Linked DNA regions of Bombyx mori. The protein of the gene in region 1 interacts with the protein of each later gene in a pairwise test. Links are inferred from orthologs where the notes say so. Each region holds a gene or a part of one and is shown in the gene's direction. Other genes may lie near its edges. The genes, in order: interphase cyctoplasmic foci protein 45 and SNF.

Region 1 (3,907 bases):
ACGTCCACGTTGAAACTCAGCAAACCAGCGATAAATTGTGGTTTTGGATGGGGCTTCATCACCAAATGCAGAAATCATCCGGTCAACACACTGTTTTTGTGTTAAACGACTTCGAAAGTCATAATAAATCATCGCTCTTGAATTTTCTCGAGTCAATTCCATTTTCTCAACGACTAAACAAGTTTGACAAAACCTCGTGACAAGACCGAGAATCTTTTTTTAAATAAATAAATGGTATTCGATTTTTAAAACCAAGGAGTTTTCAATTAAAAAGATTTTAATATGACAGGAACAGTGGAAATATTCCATTCCCGATACTTTTAGTGCAGCCCTCGTAAGCACTGTGTACAATACCAACACGCGACACCACGAAATACTAGCAATTTCTGAAAACAGTTAGCTAGCAGCAGTGGAATTGTATGGTTATGTTCTATGGATTTAATAAATAATGAGTCAGATGAAGGCTTTGAAGAAGATTTGATGCAAATTTTGGATACATAAATGATACTTAAACGACGACGAATTTCTCCCCATACATTATTTCTTATTGTATGATCCCTGTATATAGATAAATTCATGTCATATAGAACAGGATATCCTTTTACCAACTCAATCAAATGTTCGTCGGTCATTTCAAATGCTAAGCAATAAACGTGCAATAAGTAATATAAAATTGGCATAAATTCTGTTAGAGAGTTTGAAGAATAGGGATGGGGTCAAAGAATGCTTATATGCTCAGTGACAGTTCTCGAACGGCTGACGCGTAAGCAAGACGGGTCGTCGCACCCCCTTACGGGGGCACGAAACAGGCCTCGGGGCGAATCCCACTCACTGCCCGGGCAGAAGCTCCCTGCCATGAAAAGCAGGGAGGACTGAGAGGGGGGTTCGTATGCGTGTTCGGCGCACTCCAACGACATGTATACTTAAACTTAATACGAGGGCTTGAGTAGTCCACGGGATGACGCCCGGCGGCAAGGTCCCTCCGGCGTCTTGTTGTCCTCTGCATTATGTTTCTTTTTTTCTCCCCTTATAACGAAACTTACAAGCTCTACTCATCTAAGTTCATCGGAACGAATCACTACTCACGGATTTCAAAGTAGTGTAGGTATTATCTATGGCTTCACCACCAGTTTACACTAAGTGACTTTTTGGCGGGAACGCGAGGAGTGAACTTGTGTGATTTGTTTTATTTTGTCTATTTAGTGTTTCTTCAGATTTAAATGTGTAATAACGGTGGTTTATTAACTGTTTAATATCTGTGACAGTGCAACAAATATAGGAAAATGAAACAAAGCCGCCAGACGTAACTTTTCGGGATCCTCCAAAAAGTCCACTGAAAAAATCTCAGTAATTGACCACCATTTTACTGAGATTATCTTTCATCCCATATCATCTCATCACATTTAATTTCATTTCATCCCATCCCAGTTGATTAATATCTCAAATTAATCATCTTCATTTCATTTCACTTCATATTATCATTTTCCATAAAAATATCTCATATTATATCATCTCATCTCATTTCATTTCAGTATCATATTTCATAAAATAAAAAAAATATATAAAAGATTAGGCTGTATGGTACGATATCTATGCCTTTCCGTTTGAAAAAATAAGACTACTACTACCTATCATAGATTATACACTTATTTGCTACCTTTATTAATTATGTTCATAGATTAAACACTTTCTAGGTTACCATAATGGCAAATAATCATTTGTTTTGAAAATACAGTAAAGCTTTTACTTAAATGTGGAAATTAAAATCGACCAGGATTGTAAAACACTATTTATCCACAAATTTCCTAGTACTTAAAATGGCAAAGAGTTCCTTCGAATACGTAAAAAAATTTGAACATGATGATTCGTTGTTACCAAATACATGGATAGTTATAAGATTAGACGGTAAATGCTTTCATAAATTTGCAGACGACCACAACTTTACGAAGCCTAACGACTTGCGGGCTCTAAAATTGATGAACTATGCTGCATATACTGTTTTAAAAGAATATAGTGATATTTTGTTATCATTTGGGCAAAGTGATGAATATTCATTCGTACTTAGAAAAGACAGTTGTTTGTATAAACGGCGCTCAGCAAAACTATTAACAACAATAAATAGTAAATTTTCGTCATCGTATGTTTTCTACTGGAACAAATTCTTTGAACATCTGCCATTGAAATATCCCCCTTGTTTTGACGGGCGCATTGTTTTGTATCCTTGTGACGAAAATTTAATAGATTATATGAAGTGGAGACAGGCTGATGTACACATAAATAATTTATACAACACTACCTTCTGGACTTTAATTTTGAAGGGGCAGTTGACCCCTGTGCAGGTAAATCAATTTCAAATTTAAGATCAATTTATACTATATTTATTTGATTTTACAGAAGCTTTCGTTGTTGTTCTTTATGACATGCAATGAATAACTAATGTCAGAACTGCTTCCAATCTAAATTATAGGTGTATGGGTGGGGGGAACCTTTCTGAAAAAAATTATGATAAATAAATTGCAAAAAAATACATTTTTCTGAAGTTTTGGCACAATACTGATGAATCTTGATCTATGACTGGACATAGAATAAGCATAGGTTATTTAACATCCATTGTAATTATTTCATAAAATATAAGCTTACCTAAATGACCACTGATGTTTGATACATGTATGTGAATACTGTTTTCAGTATCTTACTTGTCTTAAACGATATGAGTTTATTGGACATTTTGTTTTGGTGTACAATCCTTTACAGCCTGTATAAAAGGGCTGACATCATAAACATCATGGTGTTACATTACTTCAGCCCATATACACAATATCATTAATACAAAAGGTTGAAAATTTGTCAATCTGTATCTTATATTAAGCTATAGCATCAGTGAAAGATTTACAGTAATGTTTCATTCTAGGCTGAGAAGCGTCTAAGTGGAACAGTGTCTGCTGATAAAAATGAAATCTTATTTCAAGAGTTTAACATGAACTATAACAATGAACCAGAAATATTCAAGAGGGGAACAATTCTATTGCGAAAGTCTATATTGCACAATAAAGTGAACAAATCTATCATTGTGGATGTTCATGATGATATGTTAAAGGATAAATTTTGGAAAGAAAACATATATATATTATCTGTAAAAAAATCTAAACAAAATTTAATGTATATAGGTCCTACAACAGAAATCATAGAAGATCAGTTAAGTAAATATGAAAGTCATTTAGAAGCTTGACATAACAATGACATCTATTTATTTTGAGGAACAGTTTAATACTATATTAAACTATAGCGTAATACTATATTAAACTGTTGAGTTATTTTAGATGTAAGATTTTAAATTTTGTATTTGATGTTAAACATCAGCTTTCCTAAAAAATAAGGCTACCAAACTTTTAGTGTCTTTTATTTATTACCATTATGGAAGTACAGGTATAATTCTAAAGTACTGGCTTTTTCCTTACTAATAGCTTGAAATAGTTAAACAGACTTAATGTCTTTAGACTGAGTCACGTTGACAACATGAGTGCAGCTGTCCACTGTAATCTAGGTTGAATTCTCAATTTTAATAAATGATAGATGTTCCAACCTTCAAACAAGTAATAACATTAACTTTTATCGTTAGAATTTCGCATACTGAATATGATTCGCACGAAAATGAAACGGTATCTTAAGGTGCACTTGGAACGGGGTGGCCTTATGGTCCATCTGGTGTAAAACAGTTATTAGCTTTCCCATCTTTAATGGCTTGATCACACGTACTGAGCAAACGGGCGAGACGTAAAATGTTTCTGGGCCGAGACGGCGCAGAAAGTGATGTAAGCGAGTAGCTGTTCACACGTGTTTTGAAATTAGCACAGTCAGTTTCAGTTTAGTGTGCTTAGTGCGAGTTTTATAACGTTCTCGATAGCGT
Region 2 (4,633 bases), on another chromosome or scaffold:
TTTGTTGATTGATATTGCGTCATTGTTTTGTCTTGTTATTATTCATTCATTTGTTTATATATATGCCTTGATTGGCTGATTGTTGTAATATACATACTGTCATTAGGGAAATAAATATTTATTTCTATGTAGTGTTTGTTACGGAATAAAAATTCATTTTACTGACCATGTAGCCTGTTCTCGAGCAATAAATAGAATAAATACTTCAATTTTAGATATTCAATCACAGCAATAACTTCCACAAAATAATAGTGAAGAATTCGACGCAATAGAAGGGACTGATTTAGAAAAAGGAATTTGGGATTTTCATAAGTTGCTTGTCAAAAAGCAACTCTCTACATGTAATACACTTGCACTGGAAAGTCAAGGCTTAAACGAATAGTTTAAACACTATTTATCACAGGCAGTTGTTCACCTAAAGTATGATCCTATACTTTATTGGCAAGAACAAAAAAACTCTATTTATCACCATGTTCACTCAATAGCCGTGATGTATATGAGTATCGTAGGATCATCTGTTCCCTGTGAGCGCCTTTTTTCGATTGCCGGCAACATCGCAAGTGATGAGCGGAACCGCTTGGATCCCATTAGACTTGACAAATTGTTGTTTTTAAAAAACTTAGATATGAAGCATTGGGAACTATAAGCTATTGTTATCTACTCTCTTAACTTTTTAATGTAACAAATACATTTAGAAATTAAATGTCTTCTTTTATATCTGATCTGATATTTTGATATGGTAATAAAAATAATTGTAATTATCGAATTCCCTGAACTAATAAATTCCTGATTTTACTGATAAGAGATCCCAGAGATTGTTTATTATGGTATCATTTTTGTTTTTCATAAAATGGATTTATATTTAAATTGTAAATACAAATTTGAAAAAAATCGATTTTTTAGAAATCGATTTATTAGACCTCGATTTTTTTATGAATCGATTTATCAGGTTACGATTCGAATCGATTTAAAAATCGATCTTTTTTGGAAAGAATCGCCATTCCTATTGTGGAGTGGTGGGCAATGAAAAAGTTGATAATTTTGCAAAATCAATAAATAACTTGGGTGGCCAGATTAAAAATATTTCAATTCCATGGCAAGACCTAATTCCTGATATTCGTCAACAAATTAATAAAGATTGGCTCGAAAACAGAAGGCATATGAATGAAACCAAAGGTAAATGGTATGCTGAAATAAATAATGAAATCGGTATTAAACCCTGGTTCGCTAGGAGCAAATATTTCTGTAAAAGGAAGTTCTACACACAGATTTGTAGACTGAGATTTGGTCATTGCAAATTTAGCGCTCACCTTTACCGAATGAAAATAACTTCATCACCAAATTGTAATAAATGCTCACTAAATGAAGAACAAACTTTACATCATATTTTTTTCACATGTCCAGCTTTTAATATTCATCGCATCCTATTTATTGATAAACTGCAAGAGGTTTATAAGGATAGCATCCCGCCTTCTCTTCAAGAATTGCTTAAGTGCCCTGCAAGTTTTAGAGCAGTATATGAATACATTACCTCTACTTTCGGAGACTTATAATGGAGAACACAAATTTTGACTTTATAGTCAGATTATCCAAGAAACACGATTGCGACAACTCTCAACCGAAACAAATGGGAAAAAAAAAAAAAAAAATCTGAATAGACATTTACACGGATTTGAAAAATATTTATAAATGAAGAATACTAAACAATTGGCTTTTTTGCCTTGAAACATAAAATTATATATGAAAATATTAAACTTAAGAATTGGCTGTATGGCTTAGTTCCTTTGCCTTTCTCTTCGAGAAAAACCTTACTACTACTACTATCTATGGTTAGAATGTTAGCTAGGGACCTTCGCTAGAAGTAATAGTGTTCTGTGCTAGGGACGCGCCTGTTTCAACGAAAACTGCCTAGACCTGTAAAAAGAATTTGGAAGGTAAAAACTTTTACAATACCTACTTATGCCTAACTAAACATTTTAATCCAAAGGTAATACATTTAGTATGTTTTATTCTTGCAGTATCCAATTTGATTCCGCCTTCACTCACATTGGTTCAATCGAATTCGTTCCTTGTCACGCCTCTCGTATAAAAAACAAAACTTAGTTTTGTAATCAAAATGAGTAAGTACAAACACAAATACATTTAATAATTTTATCTATTATTCATCTTATTAATTATCACATTATTCACGATAGTTTAAAACTAACGTAACAAAAGAAAACTTATAACCTATAAAGTTTATTTTATTTATTGAGGAATAACAAACGGTGATGAGATGAAACAGTAATTTCACTACTTCACAATAAAAGTTAACTGTAGCCAACTACAATATTTGACTGATGACCATCAACTAACTTTTGTGACAGATGTTCGTTGAACCTATCTGCAATCTATCAAGACTATCGCAATTTTCTGCAATCCCATTCAAAAATATTGTTAAGTACATATCCATGATGGGCTTTTCTAAAACTTTTTTGAAATCAGTGTATACATCTACCTCCAGATTGTTTTAAATATTCTCTAATATCTATTTTAATGCTTTGGATTCCCACTTTACAAATCTATATTGTTCAAGTATGATGATATTATGGAGAAGAGTTTATATAAAATTACGAATCGATTTTGAGTTTTGACTAGGTGAACAGAATTGATACATCTGTAATGCTCAATGTCATATCTTGAGCATCCCAAATGAACTGGTGTTATGTTTTCACACCTCTAGAAATATAAACAGATACTTACTATACATTAAATACATATTGATGCTTGAAAGGCAAACGTGACTAAGCGACAATAACAGCTTTGTACATAAATTATAGGCAATCACCATATTCGATGCGCAAAAAACATATATTTCTATATCTATTAAAATAATTAAATCCTATACCTAGATTCGTTAAAATAGAATTCAGGTATTTCAACTTTAAATTAGTCTACTGTAAAGTTCACGCATCGTCTCTTAGTCATGTTTGCCTTTCAAGCGTCGATGTATAGAGTACTAACATATCGATGCCTCCAACTAACACTACTCTAACTCCAAATTCGTAGGTTTACAGGAGGAGAGTTTAAACGAAAAAAGTTGATAAATATATCTGCAATAATAAAGATTTTATGATTTTTTTTTGTGTAACTAGCTGATTTACTCTTGCATCAAACCTCATTAATAATGAATTTGTAATACTTTTAAAATAGTGAAGCGATTTGCGTGAAAAACGAAAATTTCAAAATTTTGAGTTAGAGTAGTGTTCATTGGAGGCAGCAATATGGAATTATATCTGTGAAGTTAGAGAACACATCATGAACTAAGCCACTCAATGAATGTAAATCATCTTTTTGGCTAAAAATTAAGCATAAATAAATTGCAATACTAAAATATTTGTATTTCATAAACATCAACTTTTTTCAGCAATGGATATAAGACCCAACCATACCATTTATATCAATAATCTCAATGAAAAGATTAAAAAAGAAGAATTAAAGAAGTCACTTTATGCAATATTTTCACAATTTGGTCAAATATTGGATATAGTAGCAATGAAAACCTTAAAAATGCGTGGTCAAGCATTTGTTATTTTCAAGGAAATTTCAAGTGCCACTGTTGCTTTGCGGAGCATGCAAGGATTTCCATTCTATGATAAACCAATGGTAATGTTTCTAAATAAAAATGTCAAGATCAAAATAAATTTATCTAATTGCACAATTTGCTAGTTCGATTTACACAAAACTTTATTTTACAGAGAATTCAGTATTCAAAAATTGATAGTGATATAATAGCAAAAAGTAAAGGAACATTTCAAGAACGACCTAAACGTCCAAAGCTACCTAAAGGTACTGATGATGGGAAGAAAAAGAAAAACAAAGATCCTAGCAGACTTATTGGGCATGGTATCCCTGGTGCTGGTATCCTAAACAATGTTAATGCGGAACAACCTCCCAACCAAATTCTGTTCTTGACAAACCTTCCAGATGAAACTTCAGAGATGATGTTATCAATGTTGTTCAATCAGTAAGTTCACATTCACTTCATTCAAAAAGTAATTTTTATCATCAAATAAGACAATAAAATACACAAAACAATAAAAGCAAAAATTCTAAAGTGTGCAGTTTTAGAGAATTGGAACTCTCACATTCTCATTACTGAAGTTACAAAGATACTTTTTAAATTTTAAGTAACTTATAATTTATCAATAAATTATATTTTTTAGGTTCCCAGGCTTTAAGGAGGTTCGTCTTGTGCCAAACAGGCATGATATCGCTTTTGTTGAATTCGGAAATGAAATGCAATCTGCAGCAGCCAAAGAAGCATTACAAGGATTCAAAATAACACCAACACATGCAATGAAGATTACTTTTGCTAAGAAATAGTGTAATGTAAAACATGTAATTTTAAGTATAAATAAATTGAGAAACTGAGAACTGTTTTGAGCATTGCACTCCGCCTAAACAGCTCTCTGATCTGGCTGTGATATTATCGTGATAGTTTAGAAGTGTAGTTTACTTTGTAGCCTTAAGAATATCATCCGAGACTTAAACCCAACCTGAAAATAAAACAAAGTAGTGTTGTATGCACCACTGTCGTATGTATTTCTGCAATGAATTTTCTTTGTAATTTGAAGGGTAGTCTTCACATGAT

What was found.
Region 2: the proteins of interphase cyctoplasmic foci protein 45 (region 1) and SNF interact in binary tests that used the Drosophila melanogaster proteins (3 or more experiments, as listed by UniProt). The link is inferred for Bombyx mori from reciprocal best matches to the Drosophila melanogaster genes THG and snf.

Annotation. Positions count from the first base shown.
Region 1 is NC_085110.1:11,452,890-11,456,796, forward strand, and holds interphase cyctoplasmic foci protein 45, read left to right. Parts: upstream 1-1,695; 5' UTR 1,696-1,751; coding exon 1,752-2,339; intron 2,340-2,911; coding exon 2,912-3,229; 3' UTR 3,230-3,389; downstream 3,390-3,907. UniProt on the Drosophila melanogaster protein: Adds a GMP to the 5'-end of tRNA(His) after transcription and RNase P cleavage.
Region 2 is NC_085117.1:15,209,255-15,213,887, reverse strand, and holds the start of SNF (U1 small nuclear ribonucleoprotein A), read left to right. Parts: upstream 1-1,777; 5' UTR 1,778-1,934; intron 1,935-2,018; 5' UTR 2,019-2,116; coding exon 2,117-2,120; intron 2,121-3,406; coding exon 3,407-3,645; intron 3,646-3,737; coding exon 3,738-4,006; intron 4,007-4,205; coding exon 4,206-4,365; 3' UTR 4,366-4,366; exon of another isoform or gene 4,367-4,416; intron 4,417-4,633. UniProt on the Drosophila melanogaster protein: Binds stem loop II of U1 snRNA. It is the first snRNP to interact with pre-mRNA. This interaction is required for the subsequent binding of U2 snRNP and the U4/U6/U5 tri-snRNP. Plays a role in regulating sex-lethal splicing.